Linked DNA regions of Alligator mississippiensis. The protein of the gene in region 2 interacts with the protein of the main gene of each other region in a pairwise test. Links are inferred from orthologs where the notes say so. Each region holds a gene or a part of one and is shown on either strand. Other genes may lie near its edges.

Region 1 (10,873 bases), about 6.1 Mb from region 2:
GCTGATTGGTGTTCTGTTGCCAAGGAACCGACTCGTATGCAAATGAACCATCACTAGGAAATGAAAAACAACTTCATTAACAGACTGGAAGATTGGCAGGGGGAACAGGGAACACAGGTCACGCATGACCAGTGTGGCTGTGAACACATATGTGCGGGTCGGGGCTGGCTAGGGGCTCCAGGGCCCAGGATTCAAATCCGTGGCTGGGGAGGGGTCTGTGGCCATATGGGAGGGAGTGGGGGGATCCATGGCCTGGGCATAGAGGACAGGCGGGGGATCTGTGGCCAGGTCAAGAGACAATGGGGGATCTGTGGAGACTGGGGAGGGGGGAGGGCGATGCTGAGGGGGGTTTGTGGCTGGGAGGGTCTGGGGAGAAGACACTGGCCCAGGCCCATGTGGCTCAAGTATGTCCCCATGCCTGTTGGCCATGTGGCCAGCCCCAGCCAGGCCCCCAGCACTCACCCATGCGGTGTGGGTGGCAGAGAAGGTTTCATTGGGTTCATGGAGCTCATCGGCGGCGTGTCCCAGGGCACCCACAGGGGTGGTGGCAACTCCAGAGGGTTCTGGGGAGCAAGCAGGCATCAGCTGGAAGGGGGTGCTGGGGGGGGGGGGCAGGCAGGCAATCCCCAGTCAGGCAGGGCTGAGCAGGCCCCCCCCAGCAGGACCCGCTGTGCCGGGGGAGCGTTCACCCTCGCTCCTGGCAGCGCCGACATCAACCTGGGAGAGAACTTGGCGTCCTGCCCAGCCCAGCCGCCGCGGCCTTGGCTCGCGTCTCCCATCCGCCTCTGCCTCAGCTGGGCCAGGGAACCCTCCTGCCCCCACAAACCCTGGCATGGGGTCGAAGAACCCCCCTGTGCCCCCATGCTGGTGTTGGCTGGGGAGAACCCAGGAGTCTGGGCTCCCAGGGCCCCTCCTCTCACCCCCCAGCCCCACTCCCCTCCCACCCAGGCATCCCCACCCCCTACACCCACCTAACCCCTCTCCCCTCCCACAGCTGGAGAGAACCCAGGCCTCCGACTTCCTGACAACAACCTCCCCTCCCCCGCCCAGAGCCTAAACAGAACCCAGGAGTCCTGACGGGGGATTCCCAAGGGCTCAGGCCAACCTGCTGCCCTACCCTGGTGGGTCACAAGCAGCTCACTGGGTAGATCTCAGCCAGACCGTGGCTGGTGGATGGGGCTGGAATCCAGCATGGGTTGAGGGAAACTGAGGCACGGTTCAACTAGAGCCTCTTGGTGCTGAGCTGACTTGGGGGGAGCAGGAAGGGGTTAAGAGGCAGAAGAGCAGGGGGCCCTCGGGCTAGGCACTGCTCCACCCCAGAGCTGGCTGTGTCTGGGCCCCCACCCAGGGGCCCCAGCCCCTGGCAGGCCCCGGCACCACTCCCCTGGGCAGGCAGAACGCAGTGTTCTCCTGGAGCCACTCCTAGCCTCACCAGTCCAAACCAGCTCCCTTAAAGGGACAGCGTCACCTCAAGTTCCACTGAAGGCCTGCTGGGAGGGGGAAACTGAGGCACGGGAGACCAGACCCGCTGCCCCACCCCACTCTAACCATTAGGCAGCCAGGCTGCTTTGCTATCCCCTCTCCCCACAGCCCTGCATTTAATCCCCCTAGCTCCAGGGGGCAGGGGATGGAAGCACCCCAGATGCCTGCTGGGAGGGGGAAACTGAGGCACAGGGGGAAGGTCAGGGGGGAATAGACCCTGCACCCCCACCCTGCTATAACCATTAGGTAACCAAGCCGCTCTGATAACCCTCCCCACGCACTTAACTCTCCCAGCTGCAGCAGGAGGGCAGGGGGCAGCATCCAACTGGCCCCAGGACTAGGGGCTGAGAGAGGCACAGAAGGGCACCCAAAACATTTCTGCCCAGGGGATGGACTGGCCCAGCCAGCCCCCCTGCCAGCCATGTGGGCAGCAGGACTGGGCACGCTGCATGGTGCGATGCCCACCTGGGAGCACTAGAGCTGACCTGCATGAGCAGGAGGATAGTGGTCAGAGCGTAGAGGTAACTCTGGCCTTGGCCCTGTGGCTGGGGGGAACCCAAGAGGAGCAACACCTCCAGCTCGCATGGGCATTGCTGCCACGTGCAACGAGCTCACACAAGCATTGACCCATGTACTACCATGACATGTGAGGCTCACACAACTGTTGACCCCTGTGATATTATGACATGCATGTGGCTTGCATAACTGCCAACCCCTGTGCTACCATGTCCCAGACTCGTATGACTGCTGACCCATGTGCTACCATGACACGCATGGGGCCAGCGTGACTGTGCAAGCCTGGCATGTCACAGCAGTGCATAGATTAGCAGTCAGTGATACTTGCTACCATGACACATGCGGGACTTGCACCATTGCTGACCTGTGCACTACCATGACAGACATGGGCCTCACATGACTGCTGACCCGTGTGCTACCATGACACACATGGCTCATGTGACTGCTGACCCATGCACTGCCATGACATGCCAGGCTCGCACCATTGCTGATACATGCCGCTGTGACGCATGCCAGGCTTGCACTATTGCTGACTTGTACGTTACTGTGACACATGAGGCTCACAACACCGCTGTCCCGTGTCCTAACATGACACGGGCATTTTTCACACCATTGCTGACCTGTGGGCTACAATGACACACGAGGGGCTCACACCATCACTGACCCATGTACTACAACAACACATACCGTTGCTGACCCATGTGCTACCATGACATACATGGAGCTCACACTATTGCTGATCCATGTACTACCATGACACACAAGGTGTTCACATCATTGTTGACCAATGTACTACAATGACACACATGGAGCTCACACCATTGCTGACCTGTGTGCTACCATAACACATGTGGAGCTCACACCGTTTCTGACCTGTGCACTACCATGACACACGCAGTGTTCACACCATTGTTGACCTATGCACAATGACACATGCAGGGCTCACATCACTGCTGACCTGTGTGTTACCATGACACGCATGGGGCTCACACCACTACTGACCCATTCACTGCTGTGTCACACACCAGGGTCATAGCTGCACGTATACACACTGCTGTGATGCACACCAGGCTTGCACCATTGCTAACCCATGCGCTACTGCGACACACATGAAGCTCACAGGATGGCTGACCTGTGGGCTACCATGACACACACAGGGCTGGCACCACCACTGACACATGCTGCTGTGACACATGGCCCCCCCCAGCCCTCCTCTTGCTGGCAGCTCTGCAACGGCCCACGCGTGGGGGCGGGGATGACACATCCCAGCCACTGCCTGTGTGCGTGTGGGGGAAGTCACACTAAGGACACTGCCAGGAAGAAGTGTGCCCTCCCTCCCCACAGCAGGCCATGGCAAAGCCCTGGGGGGATTTCCGGGGCCTGCCCTGCCTGGGAAATCCAGCCAGGCCTGGCACATGCACACGTTGAGGCCAAGACCATGCCCCCTAATGAGCATGCAAGCACACACACACACACACACACACACACACACACACAGAGTCAGGACCCAGGTGTCCAGGATGCACACGCACGCACACATACACACAGCCCCCCAGCCCCAGGACAGCAGACGCAGAACCCAGGTGTCTGGGACACAGGCACGTGCATGTGCGCGCACACACAGACACACAGACTGAACCCAGGCATTTGACACGCTCGCATGCACGCACACATATGCACATGCAACCCAGGGCTCACGGGGACAAAAATATCGCACACGCGCCCCCCCGCAACTGGGACACACGCGCATGTAGGACCCGAGCGACCAGGGCGCACGCACAGGAGCCAAGCATCCATCCTCCCCCCACACGTCCAGGACACCCACCTGCCAGACCCTTCAGCACAGTACAGCACCGAGCGCAGCTGGGCCGGGATCCAGCCGGCCAATAGCCAGTGAGCGGGGCAATGACTTCAGCTTGGCTCTGGACCTATGTGGTGTCTGCACCAGGCTCCTGGGGGCCAGGTCGCGCCCAGATCTGCGTGTACAGCACCTGACACCGAGACAGGCCCGGCCTGGCCTGGCCCAGCAGACCCCAAGCAGTCGCCCGCTTCCTCTAACTGCTCTCCCACGCTGCCCGTCCCAGAGCCCACCCCCGCCTCGCCTGGCCTGCAGGCTCAGTCATTTTGGGCCTCTTCAGCCCCCCGGACACCTGAGCTCTCCTCTGCCAAGCCACTGCCTCACCTGAGAAACGGGCACAGGGTGAGATTAACAAAGCCCCCAGACACCTGGGCTCTCCCCTAGCTGCTGCCCCGCTCTGCCTCAGTTTCCTCACCTGAGAAATGGGTGCGGGGCGAGACTAAGGAAGCCCCCCCCCCCCGGTCTCCACCGAGCCTGCCATGGCTTCCCCGCCGGGCGGGACGAGCTCGCCCAGGGGCCCGGCCCGCCTCGCTCTCCCCACGCGTGGGGCGGGCTGGCGGGGCGGGGGGGGGGCCGCGGGCGAGACCCGCGTTGCCATGGCGACGGCTCCCCTTGGGTACCCCCATCCCCAAGATGGCGGCGGGGCGGCCCCGGCGCTGGGGGGCGCCGCGGGACAAAGGCGGCAGCGCGGGTTCGAGCCCCGGCAGCGGCGGGGCCGGCCGGGCGCCCCCGCGCGCTCGGGCCGCGCTCCCCGCCGCGCGCTGCGGGGTCCGGACGGCCCCGGGGGGATCCGACGCGGGGATCCGGCCCCGCCGCCCCGCCCTTCCCGGGGGACCCGGCGCGCCGCGCTCACCTTGCCCGCGGCGGCAACGAGGCCGGGTGCGGGGGAGGCGCGAGCTCAGCCCGGGGCCGCGGACATGGCAGCGCCGGTCCCGCTCGATCCCGCCCGATCCCCGCCGCGGCGATTGCACAATGGAGCCGATCCCCGCGCGCCCCGCCCCGCCCCGCCCCGCTCAGGCCTGAGCAGCCGAGCGCCGAGCGCCGCTCCCCCGCCCGGCCTGTTTCCTCCCGGCCTGCCGCACCCGCCTCGGCCGGCCTTCATTTGCATCTCATTTGCATCCAGCCCCCCGATTTGCTGGGACGCGCCCCGTCTCGTCCGCACCCTGGGCCCGGCCGGCGCCGCTTCTCCCGTTGGCCCTTCCTCTGCCCGTCGAGTCCTGGCCAAGGGCAGCCCCGCCCCGAGCAACCAATTAGGGCTAAGTCTCAGTCTGCACTTCCTGTCCCAAAGGCGGCCTCTTCCCCCCCCCTCCGGTTGCTATAGCAACAGCGTACCCGCCCCCCCTTAAACCACCTGTGGCCTGACCCCCCCCCCGGGCCATGTGGAGGCCTGGGGGGGTGGCGGGCATCAGTAGGTTCCAGAGTTAACAGCCCGACACAGCACCCCACTCCCTGTCATTACACAGCCGCAGGGCCCAGGCCTGTGCACGTGCACATGTGTGCGTTCACACCCTGGCTGCCTCGGTTGTGTGTGTGCACGTCCCGGACACCAGGGTGGTGTCTGTGCATGTGCCCTTTTGTGTCCCAGACCCCTGGGCTTCCTGCGAGTGTGTGTATGCATATGTCCCCCAGAGGCCTAGGCTCTGTGGGTGTCCTAGATGCCCAGAATTTGTGTGCGTGCAGGTGTGCACCCCCCCCCCCCCCCCCCGTGTCCGCGTTTGCTTGTGGAACCTGCCCTTGCCCCTGCTGGGTTCTCTGGGTGTGCATGTGCCCATGTGTACAAGGGTGTACGTGTGCACACCCTGGCTGAGACCACCCCAGGGCCAGGTGCCACCTTAACCCTCCTCCTCCAATCCCTACTGGCTGCAGCCTTCCTCAGGGCCCCCGTGCAGAACCCAGGCATCCCAGCCGCAAATTAATGCACGTGGACCCCAGACATCCACCCACTGCACACCCTCACCCAACCCAGGGCACGAGGATGGGACCCCTTCACTACATGCAGCTCTGAGCCCTGCCCTGCCCCAGCCTCCACAGCCACCTCTGGCCCCTCTTTACCTTCTCCCCAGCCCGCCCTAACAGAGGCCTGGCCCAGAGCAGGGTCCCACTGCCTTCCTCTGTTCCTCCAAGAATGGGAGCCTGTAGTGGAGGACCAACACCAGAGGCTCTGCCCTGCCCTGGTGCTGCCAGCCTGGCAGCTCCTGTCTCATTGCCACGGTTGTGGAGAATTCTTTTCCCATGGCAGCACCCAGGTCTGTGCGGTGGCATCCTACACCGTAGTGGCTCTGGTCCAGCCTTGCAGGGCCCTGGGATCTTTCAGGCCAGTGCTTTTGCTTTTCAGCACAGCCACCAGGCTTCCCCATGCCACAGAGAACTAGTGCCCCCTGCAGCCCTCCCAACCACCACAAACCCTCTGGGATCCTCCTACTGCCAGTATTGGCTTCGTCCCCACAATACTGCCCCGTGAACCCCAAGTCCTCCCCTGCCCCCATCCACCCCCAGGCCTTTGAACAGGAGCTGCTAGGCCCAGAGGATTCATGCCTGGCTTCACCCAACAGGCAAGGGGGAAACTGGGAGCCATGGGAAAGGAAGCAACCTAACGCACTGAGTGCCTGGTTGGCATAGGGCAGGCAGGAAAGCTGAAGGCAGGAGACAGCATGACCTGGAAGAGCCTTGGACATTTTATTGGTGAAGCCAGAGAAAAATCAGAACTGAAAATACCCCAAATAAATAAGTCAGGCAGTGAGGGCAAGGGCCAGCGCTGCCCACGGTGCCAGCCCCTGTCCCCTACCACGCTACCCAGCTTTAGTAGAAGTGAGATCTGAGCTTGGCACAGGCCTGGGAGACCTTAATGCCACACAGAGGAAGTCAGAGCCAAGCCCAGATCCCCAAGCTGAAGGGAGCAGCAGATGGCACCAGGTGGCAGGATAGCTGGAGGGGGGCACAGAGCTACTTCCAACCCAGGCCAGGGCCACCGTGACACCAGGAAAAAGGCAGAGGTGCCCCTGTGCTGGTACTAGCAGAGTCCAGCCCTTCCGTAGGCCAGGAAGGGGACAGATAGCACCACTTACAGCCAGGCAGGGAGGCCAGGAGCCACTCAGGAGTGGCAGGACAAAAGGGAAAACCCTGCATCCCCTGGCCAAGCCACACTTAGGCCTTAGAGGACTCCTGCCAGCCTGGGCTGTGGCAAGAGCCAGCAGTGGATGACTAGGAGCTTCCATGGCACAGAGGGGCAAAGACAGTGCTTCGGGGGAGGGGGGAAGAAGAGTACGTGGGGGGTGGGGGGTGTTGGATTTCAACCCAAGCTTCCAAGGGTCCATTGGAGAGCGCTGGGCCTAGGCCAGGGCCTTATAGGCATCCAGGTTGAAGGCTGTGTCCAGGAGGCGCTGCAGCTCCGTAACATGCGTCTTCTTGTTACCCGTGGCTGGGGCGGCTGCAGGGTCACGTCCAGCGTACCTGGGTGGCAAGAAAAGGTGTCTATGTCAGCTCCGCAGTGCTGGGACTCCAGACAGAGACAAGAGTGAGAGGCCAGTTAAGATCCCCCCAGGTCTGCCCCCAAGGTCACCACTGCAAGCTGGCACAGCACTCATGTTTGAAGGGGGAGGGCACATCATGCTCTGGGAAATACAGTAATTGCTTTCCCACCTCTGCCCTGTGGGGAGACTGGGAAAGCAGTGAGGGTACCATATTTCCCAATGCATCAGAAGTCCCTTTACCTCCGAACAGGCAAAGGCACGAGCAGGAAAGCCTGATGCTACTTTATTTTTCAGTGTATAAGATTGCCCTTGCCCCACCCCAATCACAAGCAGAAGCAGGAACAAGAAAGCAGTTATGTCACCATATTTCCCAATGTATAAGACCCCCACCTTCTGGACTCAGCTGTGCCCAGCATTTCCGTACCTTGGCAGAGGAGGCATCACCCTTGCCCCCATCCCAGGAGGCCAGTTCCATGAGCCACTATAGTCCTTGATTCCACAAACCACCCCCTCCCCCAACCCAAGGAGTGGGGAAGGGCTCATACCACACGGGCTTGGCTCGGTTGATGGTGGTGCGTAGGCGTGGCTTGACATAGTCATAGTAGCCTTGGTTCTTGTGCTCCTCCTGGCACCAGGCCAGCTCAGCGTTGGGGTATTTCTCAGCTTCCTGCTGGAGCAGGTCGAAGGGGAAGGGGGACAGCTGTGGAAGAAGAGATGGGGGTGGGTACAGCTGCCTGGCACTGGGGTTGGGGGATGGAAAATCAGGGCTCCCTGACAGTTTGGATAGGCAACATGATGCCGAGGAGGCTCAGGAGGGATAGAGAATCCATGGGCACCCCATCCTGAGTCCCATATGCACAGCATCAGCCCTGCTGCCTTGCTAAAGGGAGTCTCTGCTACACCATGGCCTCTAGCCTAGGCCTAAATCACCTTGGCTTTGGTGCCCAGGGTCAGAAGGGGGGGCATGGCAGCAAGAGAAGCCAGGATAACACGGCGAGGGAAGCCATGATAGCAGGGCGAGGGGGGTCCCCAGATGCCCGGGTTTGAGGCATGCTCACCTGCTCCACCCGGGTGATGGCCACCTCAGCCTCCATGTGGCGGGCCTTGCGCTCCCGCGTGAGGTCATAGTACACCTTGCCTGTGCAGAACAGCACCCGCCGCACGCCCGCTGGGTCCTGGGCTGCCGCGCCGGCCTCTGGGATCACACGCTGGAAGTGGGTGCCTGGGAGGAGAGCCAAAGCATGACATTGCCTGTTTGGAGGTAGGGGGGCATCTTACACATTGGGAAATATGGTAAAGGAGAGGTGAGAAAGTAGGGACATTATGGTATTTCCCAATGTGCAACATGCCCCAGCAGGACTATTCCCATCTCCAGCAGAACAGCCAGAGCAGGGCTGTTCAAGAACTGTGTTACTTTGTTCCCCATGTACAAGATGCACCCCCCCTCCAAAGAACAGGGTAACAAGAACATGAGGTTACCATATTCCCCAACATAAGACATCCCCTTCTACAAGACTGTCCCCACCCCTGGAGGAACCTGGAAAGGGCAGGGTATGAAAGCAGAAGATAAAAAGTGCAGCAATCCAGTTTTTATTCCAATTTTTTGTTTTTTAAATTAAAAAAAAAAAAAAAAAAGTGACCAAGATTCAAGGGTTTCTACTATTTTTCTTTTCATTAGCGTATTAGACGCACCTTCACTTTAGAGTCCCTTTTGTAGGGGAGTCACAGGGGGAGGGATGTCATACACCAGGGGGGGGTCCCAACCTTTTTATGCTGCGAACTGGCAAACCACAGGACTAGAAGTGACCAGCATACTGCGGGCAGGCAACCAACCCTTTTTTATACCGAATATAAAAAAAAAAAAGGGTTGGCTGCCGGTCCACAGTATGCTGGTCACTTCCGGACTTCTGGTCCAGCAGCCAACCCTCCTGCGGACCAGCAGCCAACCCTTCACGACCCAGTACTGGGCCGTGGCCCAGGAGTTAGGAACCCCTGTCATACACCATAAAGTATGTTACCCCACAAGCACCCCCCTCTCCATGACTGTCTCCAGCTGGGCCCTGGAGCCCTCGCGCTGGCTGGGAGAGCTCAGCCCAACCCTGGCAGTCATTCAGTCGCCTTGCAGGCTCCCTGGGGTACTCTGCCCTCAGCCTCATGGGCCCATCGGCTCAGGGGTAGCAGCACCAGGCAGGCACCAGAGCTAGAGCTGGCTGGGGCTTCAGAGGGGCACAGGTAGACCCCTGGGAAGGCCCTGTTGACCCAGAGCCAGTCTGGAGCGGCTCAGCAGGGAGATCTTGGAACAGGAGTATCAGGTTCTACCAAGGGCAGCCATGTTTGGGAGCAGGCTGCCCCCCTGTGGCACGAACTGGGCACACCTCCATGTTGCTTTATTTCCCAACCAGGCAAGGGCAGGGCTTGGAAAGCAATGGCATTACCATATTTCCCAGTGTATAAGAACCCTTCCCGATCCCCAACTACCCCCAAGGAATATCCCCACCTCCAGGGGACCAGGCAAGAGCAGGGCTCTCAAAGAACAATGTTCTTATTTCCCAGCATATAAGGTACTCTACCCAACCCCAGAGGATCCCCCCCGGCTCTCTTCTTTCCCCTCTGCACTGCTCCGTGCATGCCGCACTTCAGTGCCCTTCATACCTGACAGCATCTCATCAAAGCCAGAACGAGCCTCAGGGTGTCGCAGGAGGGACTTGGGAGTGAAGATAATGAGCTGGAAAGGCATAAGCAAAGCTGTCAGGGTGCGGGGCTGGGTACAGCCCCACCAGCACCCAAGTGAGGTGGTGTCAGGCCTGGGCACCACTGAGGCCCCAGCCCCTTGCCAGGGTCCCAGGGCGGCTTCATTCAGGGACACCCCACCCCGGACTCTGTATGCTGACAGCCAAAACCAGCTTCAGAGGGGAATGGAGCCATTGAAGGCGGGTGTAATAGGAGCGTGGCTGATGGAGAGGGAAATCTCAGCATCAGAGCTTCCCTGATCTCCAATGGAGAGAAGCAAGGTGGGAAGAATTTGGGATGTGCCCTTGTTTTGCTTTGCTCTCTCCCTGCATATCTTGGGGACCCGAGGCTATGCAGATGATGTTCTAAACCAGCCCCACAAGGTTCCTTGGATGAATCTGATATCTTTTATTAGACCACAGCATTCTTGAGCCCTCCTCCTACCTGCCCCACCTCCACAGGGAGTGGGTTTTACCTCCAGTGTAGACGCCACTTTGCAGAAAGCCCAGATACATCTGCCAGCCCCCTGGCAACAGGGATCTGAGCATGGCTGGCTGAGTCATGGCCAGGCTTGGAGGTGGAGGGCAGGCCGAGGCCCCACTCACCGGCTTGCGGAAGGGCAGGAGGATCTGTCTGCGCAGGACGTGGAAGAAATTAGCCGGTGTGGAGCAGTTCACCACGATCCAGTTGCAGTCGTACAGCTGGCGCACATCATTGAAGTCTTCCAGTTTCTACAGCAAAGGGAGCAGGGTTGGGGGGATGAGACCTAGCCTGGCTTGTTCGTAAATCTTTCCATCCAGCACGGAGATGTCCCCTG
Region 2 (10,947 bases):
CGGGGGTCCCAGCAGTAGTGTACTAGCAACGGGCTTCTCCTTGGCCTCGGCAGGGGCTGGCCGGGTGGGCGCGGGGCCCGGGCTGGGCCCATAGAGGGCCGGGGCCGCAGCAGCGAGGGCAGGTGCTCGGGCTGGCTTGGAGGCCAGCCCACCGGCGGAGACGAAGGCGGTATACTGGTTCCAGAAGGACAGGGGCCCCACGCCCACCAACTGGGCCGGCACATCTCGCGAGAGGAAGTCCTGCAGCTTGGCCGTGCCCCCTGCCAGCACCGGCACCGGGCCCTCCAGGGTAGGGCGCCGGCCGCGCCGTGCCGGGCCACAGCCCCATGCCAGAGGCACCTGCCATGGCACCGCGGGGGGGAGTAACCCGTTAGTGCCCACAGCAAACGGAGGGGCCTGAGGGGAGGGGGAATAGCTGGGGTGGGAACAGCCCCAGGTGCCCTTACCTGGTGGTGGGCAGCTAGGACATGCTTGCGTAGTGCGGCCCCGTCAGGAAAGGCTTCTTTGCAGACCCCACAGGCCACGACTGCCCCCTCCTGGACCCGGCCGGCGCGTGGCTCCTCCACGCCAGCCCCTGCAGCCTCCTTCTCCTCCTCGGCGCCTCCTGCTGCTTCCCCTCCTCCTCCCCTCTCAGCCTTCGGGGGGACGGGGTCCCCCGTGGGGGGCAGAGGCGATCCCTCCCTGGGCGGGGGAGGGGAGCTAGGCTGGGCACTGCCCTCCCCTGCCCCTGCCCCTGCCGCCTTCCCAGCATCCTCCTCCTCCTCCTTGGCAGGAGCTGGCAGCACCTCCCGTTCAGGGCTTGACACCCCCTCAGAGCCGCCCGGGGGCTTCTCGGCGCCGCTGTCCAGCGAGTCCTCGTCAGTGCCTTCCTCCTCGTCGTCCTCCTCCTCGTCTTCATCTTCCTCCTCTGACAGCTCCTCCTCATCCCGGGGCAGGGCAGGCCCCTCGGCAGCGGGCTGGGCAGGGGCTGGGCGCGGTCCCTCCCCTGCGAGGGTGGCGGGGGGCTCGGGGAGCAGGGCGCCGTTGGGGATCTGCCCGCCGAGGTGCATGCGGACGTGCTGCTGCAGGGTGACGGCGTTGGTGAACTTCTTCTGGCAGATGGGGCAGGAGTTGTGGGCGCGGGCGGCTGGGCTGGCCTTGTGGCCGACGCAGTGTGCCCGCAGGTTGCCGCGGGTGGAGAAGGCGCGGCCGCATACCTTGCAGCGATAGGGGCGCTCCCCACCGTGCTGCCCGTAGTGCAGCCGCAGGGCCCGGGGGCAGCTCAGCACCCGCAGGCAGATGACACACTGGTTGGGGGCAGCCGCGCCGCCAGGGGAGGTGCCGGCCATCAAGGAGGAGGAGGATGAAGGGGCTGGGGGCGAGGGGGCCGCCGCCGCGGTGCCGCCCACCCCGGGCGTCGGGGGTGCCTGGCGATCGATCTTCTCCACCAGCTGCTGCAGCTTGGAGGTCTCGGAGGGCGAGGTGCCCAGCGGCTCCAGCAGACAGGGGAAGGGGAAGCCGGTGCTGCCCGCCTTGAAGTGGCCAGCCAGCAGAGCCCAGCCGGGCAGCTTGCCCAGGGGCAGGCGGGCAGCCTCGGCCTCCCGGCCCGGAGGGGTGTTCTCGTCCCCCTTGGCCCGGCCCTCGGCCGCCTTCAGCAGCACCAGCTTGTTGAAGACGGGCAGGGCCTGCGAGGCGGTGGGGGTGGCCGCCCCGGAGAGCAGCGTGAGGCTCTCGGTGGCACTGAGGCCCTTGCGGGGCTCAGGGGCCGGGGTCGGGGGCTCCTCGCCCGGTTCGGCCTTCTCGGGGGGCACGGACATGCCATAGGGCAGCCCGGTGCCGGTGAGGACGTAGTCGAGGTGCTCGGGCACGGGGTGGGGGTTCATCTGGACGTGGGGGTACTTCTCGCGGTGCCGGTGGAAGTGCACCTTCAGGTTGCCACGGGTGGTGAAGCGGTTGCCACAGACGTTGCACTTGTAGGGCCGCTCGCCCGTGTGCGACCGCAGGTGGATCTGCAGGGCGCTGTCGCTCCCAAACACCTTGGCGCAGAAGCGGCACTTGTGCCGCCCGCCCGCTTTATCGTCGGGCCCCGGCTCCACCGCCCCGGCCCCGTTCTTGGGCCGCAGCAGCCCTGGCGAGGACGCCGGCTCCAGGCCCCGGCTTGCCCCCAGGCACTGGGCGGCCAGCAGCCCCGTGGCCGGGAACGCCGGGGCCAGCAGGGGCTCGGCCTTGGGGCCCCGGGGGAAGGGGTGGTATAGGTGGAAGAAGGCGGGCTTGGGCAGCTCCGGGGAGCCGGACGCCGGGGTCCGTCCCGGCTCGGCCTTGATGGAGAAGACGGGCAGGGGGGCCTTGGCGGGCGGCGGCGGCGGCGGCGGGGCGGCAGCGGGCGGCTCGGGGGCAGGCGCTTGGCCCAGCGAGCCCAGCAGCAGCACCTGGCGGCAGATCTCCTCCGTCATCTGCATCTGGTGCAGCTGGCGCTGCTGCAGCACCCGCAGCTCCTCCAGGATCAGGGGGATGTTGAGGTGGCCGCCGGGCGGCGCGGGCGGCGGGGCTGCGGCGGGCGGGGGCGGCGGCGGAGCGGGGGGCTCGGGCGCGGCGGGGGCAGGCGGCTCCGTCTCCATGCCCGGGGGGCTCTCCGGCCGCGGCTCCGAGGTGGACGAGGAGGAGGACGAGGAGGAGCTGGCGCTGTCGGGCGCCGGGGGCTGCTCGGCGGGGCCGGAGGAGGAGGGGGCCGCCTCGTCGCCCGTGTCCCCTGCAGGGAGAGACCGGGAAGGGGGTCAGCGCTGCACCCCGGCCCCCCCCCGCGCTCCCCTGCCCCCCGAAACCCGCCTGTGCCCCCGGTGTGCCCCACCCGAGGCGGGGGGCTCCGATGGGAGGGAGCGCACCTGCCGCCTCGGCCATGGCCCGGCCGGAGCTCGCTGGGCCGCGGCGCCCGCAGAGCAGGAGCGGGAGCGGGAGCGGGAGCGGGAGCGGGAGCGGGAGCAGGAGGAGGAAGCGGGAGGAGCCGAGCAGCGGATGCGGGCGGGGCGCGGCGGCTGCAGGGACCTCTGGTGTCCGGAGCGCCGCGGCGGCCGGGGACACGCGGGGACCCGGGGCGGGGGGGGGGACACACGGCACACACCCCGCCGCGGGGCGGGCTCCCGGCGACGCGGGGTTGCCCGGCAACCTTACAAAGCGGGGTGTGTGTGTGGGGGGGGGGGACACACACACACACACACGAGGCCATTCATAGCCCCGCCTGTGTGCACGTGTGTGTGTGCGCGCACGTGTGCACGCGGGAGGTGTCCCCGCGCCCCGCCTTGCACCCACCGTTGTCGGAGGCCGTGGAGCCGTCGCAGTCGGAGATGAGCTGCTGCGGCTTGCGCTGCTTGCGGCGCGACATCCCGCGGCCGGGGCCCCCCCGGGCCGGAGCCTGCGGCACGGCGGTGGCTGCGGCCGTGGCCGGGCGGCCCGGGGCCGGGGCCGGGGCCGGGGACACGCCCCCCTCGGCCGCGCCGCTCATTGTGCGGCCCCAAGCGCTCGTCCCGCTCCGCTCCCGCCGGCTTTTGTGTGGCCGCGGGATGGGGGGGCGCCTTAACCCCTTCCTGCCCCGCGCCGGCCGTCGGGCTCCGCTGGGGGGGGTGGGCAGGGACTCCCCCCGGGGCAGACAGGGGGGGTCACAGAGCTGCAGGCCACCAGGAGCCCAGGCCCCTCGGGGAGCCGCACCCTCAGCCCCCGACCCCGCCGCGGGGCTCCCCTGCGCCCGGCCCGGCCCGGCCCTTCCTGGCTTCCCCCTCTCGCTCTTCGCCGCTCCCCCGTGGCCTCCCGACCTCCCCCGAGCGCCACAAAAGCGGCTCCCTCGCCGCGGGAATGTTAATGAATCCCCGGCACAATGGGGTGAAAGACTTGGCTGGCACTGGCTCGGAAAGAGGGAGGGAGGCGGGGGAAGCGGGCCCCCTCGGAGGGGGCGCAGGCGGGCGGCCGTGTGTGGCGGAGGGGGGAAGGGAGGCGAGGGGAGGGCATGGGGAACCTCCATCCAGGCCCCTGCATCGCCCCATGCCGTGGGGTTAGTGCTCTGTGCTGCTGGAGCATGCCCCTGGGGTCCCACAAGCACCCCGGATCCGGCTATCTGTCACCCCAGGATAGTGCGTGCAGAGGACGGGGTGGGAACGGGGCGCTGAGAAGCAGGGAGGATGAAGTTGAGGGAAGGAAGGGCAAGAAACTACCAACTCCTCACTGCCGGATGCCTGCGCTCTCCATGAAGCATCAGGGGGTTGTGAAAGTAGAGGGAGGAGGGAGAAGTCAGGGTGTGAGATGGCTGGAACAGCACATCCAGAACCCAGAGGTGGGGAAGCAGCCTGAGCACACTGAGTGCAGGCCCCTCGTGTCCCTTCCGGCCCACACCTGCGTTCCCGAACACATCTGGATGGGGCAGCATCAGCGGCGAACCCCAGCTGGGCAGAGAGGCAGGCGCAAAGTTGGCCTCCGCGTGAGAGGCAGGCACGAGTAACATCTGGAATGCGGGATAGCAGGCAGCCGTCACCCACATCTGGACGGGGGAAGGGTATTCATTGAGACGGCCCAGTGAGACTGCTTCACACAGCAAAATCGCCAAGCCACATCTGGGATTCATTGGTAGACTGTAATCAGCTATTATGATGCAGCTGTGAGCCACATCTGGGTTTGTGCAGAGGAGACAGCTGGGAACTGCTGCGTCTGCAGGGGTTAGTGGGATGCCACCGTCAGTCACATCAGGATTTGTGGTTCTGCTAACAGCATAAGTCACCACCTGGAATTAATGGATGAGACATAAACGCGGACCACATCTGGGCTGGTAATTACAGTGCTTTCATGAACCATGTCCAGACCGGGGAGATCCTGCAGTCTCTGCTCAGCCAGGGGCACATCTGGTTTGGAGGGTTGTTCCATCTGGGCTGATTCATGCAAAGAGACCATCGCTCTCAGTGGAACCGGGAGAGATGGCCAAGTCCCTCAAGAGAGGAGCGGGGACAGTGGGGCTTCTGGGGATGACTCACCATGCACTCGTGTCCATCTCATTGCTCTGGCCTGTTTGGTCTGTCGGTGCCTCTATCGTTGCTCATGCCCGCTTGCTGGTGGCTGCTTCTTCTCCCCCTCCGGGGAGGGAATCTGGTGATGAGAGGCATGGGTGCAGCTCCCTCTGGCTTTTGCTGTGCTTCCTGCTCAGCTTGTGAAGTCCTTTCCTGCCTCTCTGCTCTCCCTGGGCCCGTGAGTAGTTTCCTGCATCTCCTCCATGCCTGCACATGCACCCCGGGGAGAGGTCCCAGGGTGGAATCAGAAAAAATAAATGCCTTAAACTTTGATCATACGAGTTATAAGATATAACCGCTTTGTGGGGAATTGCTGGCTCTGTACAGTAGAACAGATAAGGGAAAGTGTTCTTTGTGACTCCTCTGCAACTGCTTCGCTCACCGCGGCCTTGAAGATAGCAAAAAGGTATGTACAACTCTGATTTCCAGGTGCAAGAAGGAGGTTTGTGAACTAACCTCGCCTCCCCCATGGTTCCCATCCTGATAACAGCAAAGCAGTATGAGCTAATGCTTGTTTGTAACAGCTTTTCCTAGCAAACTGCACTGTACGATCACATGAGTTGTAAGCGACTGTTAAAAAGTATATAAGCCTCCTGATTTTGCTCTTGGGGGGGAACCCCTTCCAAGTGCTTGGGCAATCCATGTCACTTTGGGGTCCCCCCTACAGCTGTAGTTTCATTTGAATAAAAGCTTCTGCTGACCTGACCCAAAAGTATGCTGCGTGTGTTTCCACGACACCAGTGTGAGCCTCCGGTCGTTCAGCCTCTTGGCCTCTCTGGGGAGCTTCTGGAATAAATTAAGGCTTTTCCAGGACACATTTCCTCCTTGTTGGATGTTCCTCTGATATCCTCCAAGCTGCGCCAGGTCCCTGAAGGACAGGAGTTGCCTTTGATACAGAAGGCAGGCAGGCAGGCAGGTGTCTTTGGCTTGTTTGTGGGTGGCATTTCCTGGACCTTCAGATATGGGTACAGAAGGCAGGCAGATGATACCCATACACCCATCCTTACACACTTCTCTGTTCGTCTGTCTCCAGCCAGGCCCCTTACCACTCCCATGTTCTCTTCAACCCTTGGATTTTCAGTAGCTGATGAGATTTCCAAAGCTGCCTGAGGCATCTGAGTACTCGACTCCTATTGCAGAGAGTGAGGATTGGGTTTCTGAATCATCCGGCTGATGCTGATGCTCTCGTTTCCAGCGCTGCTTCCTGGATCGCATGACCTAACATACCTGATGCAGCCTGTTCCTGACCTCCGGCTCTACCTGTGGCCACTCGGTGTCCCGGAAGCTCAGGGCAGCGGTGGTGAACAACTCAGGTTGTGACTCCGAGCTGCAGGCTCCCAGCTCAGGTCTGTTCTGGGACCTGCAGTGTGCGACCACCCCAGCCACTCTTATAGGAGAGGGAATCCCAGCATGAGCACTTCCAGGCAGCTTTACACCAAGGGAATGAATGAGATGGTGTCCTTTGACCTCTGGACAGTGTCCTTGCAGGCAGTCCCGGCACCACCGCACCCTGAGACCCACACTGCGCAGGGGAATCCATGACCCTGCTCAAAAACCCTTGCCCGCTTACCCGCCTCCTTTTCTAGCCACTGAGCTGCCTGTGGGGCACAGAGCTAGCAGCCAGCTCTCCATGGGTGGCTATGGGGTATCCAGATGTGACCTTTGCCAGCCCTGCTCCCTCCTGCCCTGTCCCCACTGGATGTTTGCCTGTCCATGTCTGTGCTGGCACTCCTCTCCCTAATGCTTTCCCGGATGCCCTGCAAGCATAATGTGCACTATATGCAGATAAGGTTCCTTGGGTGAATTTGATATCTTTTATTAGACCAACCCAAATAGTTGGAGAATAGTTATTAAGCAAGCTTTCGAGTTCAGAAACCCTTCGTCAGGCTAAGGAAGTTTCAGCAGTTGCTGTGTGCTCTTCCTGGATGGAATGAAAATGTGCACTATGTTGTTCCAGGTGCAATGGCCCAGATCAAAGTGCGCCAGCCAGGAGGGTCAGCCAGTGCCAGGGAAAGGGGCACCTCTCACATCAACTGCATGTACCAGTCTGACAGCTTTTATGGATTGGCCTAGCATTGACAGTGTCCTGGCAAAACCCCAGGGCTCATCGACCAGGCAGGGGACAGTCAGCAGCAACGGGGTGACTCACCACATTCCTACAGCTTCCTTTGTCTCTGTAACACCCAGGCCTTGGATGCTGCCTTGTCCCTGGGCACTGTGGGGGCACAGTGACTGATGACACTTCCTGAGCAGTGCAATATCTTGGGGGCAGAGGGGTGAGCATGCTGGGGGAGGAGATACTCAGCTCTTCCCCTCTCACCACCCCTTACCCTGGCGGGGTGAAGTTTCGTGCTGTTGTTGTGGGGGAACAAGCCACTCCCTCCTGCCTGCAGGGAACATGGGGATCTGGGTCCTGGCACCCTATTTCCAGTCTGTACTTCACCTTCTTGATGATGATTCAAATTGTCCCAAGGGTTAATCAGCTGCTCCTTGAAGACCCGCATCTTCTTCCTAGCCTGATTTCATTTGCTACTCAGAACATTTGTTATTTGCACCCCCAGCAGTGAAAAGCAGCCACTAGTCAAACCCCTGTGGCGATGGGGTGCTTCATGAGTACATAACACAGAGACATCCCTTGCCCCAAGAGGCTTGCAGTCCAGGGGAACAGGGCAAGGAACAGCTGCTGCAGACAGGCAGTAAAATGGGGCAGGGGACAAGCTAAAGCTTCACCAGGACCCAGCTCTGGCCTCACTCAGAGGGCTCTGCCACATGGGTGTCTCCACCACGTAGGTGCTTGCAGCATAGGATCCAGCAATCCTCAGCTGTCTCTCTGACCTGGTGTGCTTCTAGCCTGGACAGCTCTGGTTGGGGACCGGGCTGCCTTCTGCTCCTTGCATCTTATCCAGAGCAAGAAGCAGGCATGCAGGGGAGGCAAGCACATCTGGACTCCATGTAATCCCCCACAGGCACCCTGTATCCCTGTTGCAGTGCAGAACATAGCAAGCAACAGGGGAATTGCCCTGAAGCCTGAGCTGCCTCTGAATAGATGCCTACTCCTCCCACCCTGTTTCCTTTCTGGGCTGCTGCATAGGGCCTGAGATGTGGCACAAAGCAGCAGGGAAGATACTTTCTTCTGCAGGTCCTCAGACCAGACTGAGCTCCTCAAACTGCCTCTCTCCTCCTGGAGTCTTTCTCCATCCCCCTCTCTCCCCTGGGGCTACTCTCTCGATCTCCCTCCTGGAAGCAATGAGGCCCTTGGCTTTCCTGCTGGTCTTCTTTCTTTGTCTTCCAGGTGAGTTTTAGCTGTGAGAGGGCTCCCAGCTGTGCCAGGGGAAAGGGGCAGGGGCTCTGGAGGAGATGCGGGAGGGAATCAGGAATTTGGAAAAGTCTCTGGGAGGGGAGGGCAGTGGGACTGGCTAGGTGGGAGGAGAGGACAGGGGAAGGTACCAGTCCGCTTGCTGGGCTGTCTGGCCATGTTTGACTTACCTCTATCTCCACTTGTCCATGCATGCCCCGACTCTTTCTGTTGCAGTGTCAGGAGGGCTGGAGTCAGTGACCCAGGTCCGCTTGGAGGTGACCGTGTCTGAAGGAGAGAATGCCAGCTTGGCCTGCAACTACACAACCACATATGCCCCCTCCCTCCTCTGGTACCGGCGCGGCCCCAGCCACCAGCTGGACTACCTGCTGCAGGTTGATTCTCGGGGGGTGCGTTACGGGCAGGATGGGAGCCTGAGCCACCTGGGGGCCCAGCTGGACACGGAGCAGCAGACGGCTCTTCTGCAGATCCATGCCACCCAGCTCTCAGACTCTGCTGTTTATTTCTGTGCCCTGAGCCACACAGGGCAGCAGCACCATCCACCCCTAGTGCAAGAACCTCCCACAGCCCAGCCCTTCTCCAGGCTTGCCTCCTTCCCCTCCTAGCAGCCTTGGGTTGAAGATGCATCTGTGCTTGGAAATCACTTCTCATGCGGACCCATTCGGACCATGACTGGGTCCTCATATCACCCCTTCCTCTTGGAAAAATAAGGGGCAGGGCAGAAGGTCTCCTTGTGCCTCCCCAGGTGCTCATTGCAATGCATGGGGGCCTTTCCTCTCTTCCTCTGGAGGAAGCTGTGTTAGTTGGAGCTGAGTTACATTTCCCTACAGTTGAATTGTTCTCAGCTGATTCATCGTGCACAACAATGAGAACCATCAGTGCCGGCTGCTGCATGGTCCCCTTTGGAAAGGGCTCAAAGTGTACGTGTGTCCACAGCCGTAGATATTCTGGTTGTCAGAAGACACACAGTCAACGACGGGGAGCCACATGGCAACATAACGATGGGTCTTGGCTGCTGACTTGGGAGGAGAGGGATGAAAAAAAAGGCCCACATCCAGGGGTGGATGTAGGGAGACATCCTTGCCCGTTGCCTCTGCTGTGGTCACTCTTCCCAGCTGAGCCCACCCTGTGCAGCCAAGCTGGAAAGCTCTGCCCCAGGGGACAGTGGAGAACACAGCAGTTGAAGGCAGGGTACAGGGAAGGAGAGGGGAGGTGATGTGCCTTTGAGCAAGAGGGGAAGCTGGGGATTGTTACCTGCATTGGGGACTTGAAGAAAATGCTCAGATTTCCAGGCTGGATCCAATCTGAAACAGGGTTGCAGCTGCACCACTGCACTCCTCTGGATCCATCCCTGGCCACAACCACTGGACTGCAGTGGTGGCAGCTGCCCTGGGTGCCTGGGTGTGTTGTGATGCCTCTGGCATTACACATTATCTCCACCACTGAGTTTCATTGCTTCTCCTTCCCAGAAAGGAGGGCACAGATTGAGGATCCTAGTTTAAGCAGCTCAAGGGCCAAAGGCACTGGGATCCAGGGGACTTGGCCCCCAGATCCCCGGTTGCACCTGGACTTGGGTGCCTGACACCTGTCAAAACTCCAGCTAGTGCCCAGGCTGAGCTCTGGGCATGTGAGAGCAGGGTACAATGCTCTGACTGGCTGGCAGAGGGCAGCAGCATGTCAGGCAAAACAGCCCCTTTGCAAGTGCTGAGCTGAGAAGTAGGAAGAACAAGGCTGGTTTTCAAAGTCCTGGCCTGCCCCCTCCTCTCTCTCACTAATCTGAGACCTGTGCACTCTCTCTCCTGGGTCCCAGTGGGCACGGGCATGTAGGGAACTGGTTGCCTGTACCTCCAGCAAAGTCGTTCTAGCGGCGGTGTGGGGAAATGATGTTTGCACACTGAAGTGGGGGGGGTTTCTGTCTTGTACAAAATCTGATGGCTGGGAGCTGGGGCTGGGCATGGACAGTCAGGGAAGTGGGGGCACACTTCTGCCAGGAAGGGGGAATCAATCCTTGAGATAGCGTCCTCCAGAACCAGGTTGACTCACAATGGCCTGGCGTCCCTGAAACAGCATATGGGTGACACTAAAACATGGGGGAAATTGAGGGGATTTGTCCAAGACAACACCACTTGTCCACAACCCTTTTGCATTTAGACTTTATGCTTTGTAGGATAGGGGTTGTCTCACTGGCTAGCTGTGGCACTGGGCAGGGCCAGGTCTCTATCATGGGCTATGGACTATGCAGAGGGAGCAGGGTTACTGCAGAGGAAAGGGAGCGGGGATAGATAGAGAGGCAGAGAAATGACACAAGGAGAGAAAAGGTGTTCTATTTTTATGCAAGGCAAGGGCTTCTCATCTATGTCCTGGACACACATCACACATCACACACACATCACAGCTACAACACTCCACTCTATTTTATAACCACAGCATCTTAGTGAGTGCAACTGTGCACTTACATCCATCCATCCATCCCTGGCAGGACTCTGTAATGACCAATGGTGATAGCTGTACAGTACATCATGGTCGAGTCTCTCCCTTAAACTCCAGGCAATTCTGTTGCTCAGAGGATCAGAAGGGAAGTGGTTTGCCTGTTTGTGAGGGTGGCAG

Evidence for each region.
Region 1: the proteins of SALL2 (region 2) and ZMIZ2 interact in binary tests that used the Homo sapiens proteins (3 or more experiments, as listed by UniProt). The two-hybrid records come from large-scale screens. The link is inferred for Alligator mississippiensis from reciprocal best matches to the Homo sapiens genes SALL2 and ZMIZ2.

What each region holds. Positions count from the first base shown.
Region 1 is NC_081830.1:10,035,944-10,046,816, forward strand, and holds the start of ZMIZ2 (zinc finger MIZ domain-containing protein 2), read right to left. Parts: upstream 4,845-10,873; 5' UTR 4,710-4,844; intron 564-4,709; 5' UTR 513-563; coding exon 463-512; intron 54-462; coding exon 1-53. Other genes in the region: OGDH (2-oxoglutarate dehydrogenase complex component E1), read right to left, coding at 7,186-7,306, 7,872-8,026, 8,385-8,548, 9,979-10,051, 10,662-10,787. UniProt on the Homo sapiens protein: Increases ligand-dependent transcriptional activity of AR and other nuclear hormone receptors.
Region 2 is NC_081830.1:3,902,938-3,913,884, forward strand, and holds the start of SALL2 (sal-like protein 2), read right to left. Parts: upstream 5,081-10,947; 5' UTR 4,992-5,080; intron 4,890-4,991; 5' UTR 3,992-4,889; coding exon 3,286-3,991; intron 3,026-3,285; exon of another isoform or gene 2,878-3,025; coding exon of another isoform or gene 2,862-2,877; intron 2,729-2,861; coding exon 447-2,728; intron 340-446; coding exon 1-339. UniProt on the Homo sapiens protein: Probable transcription factor that plays a role in eye development before, during, and after optic fissure closure.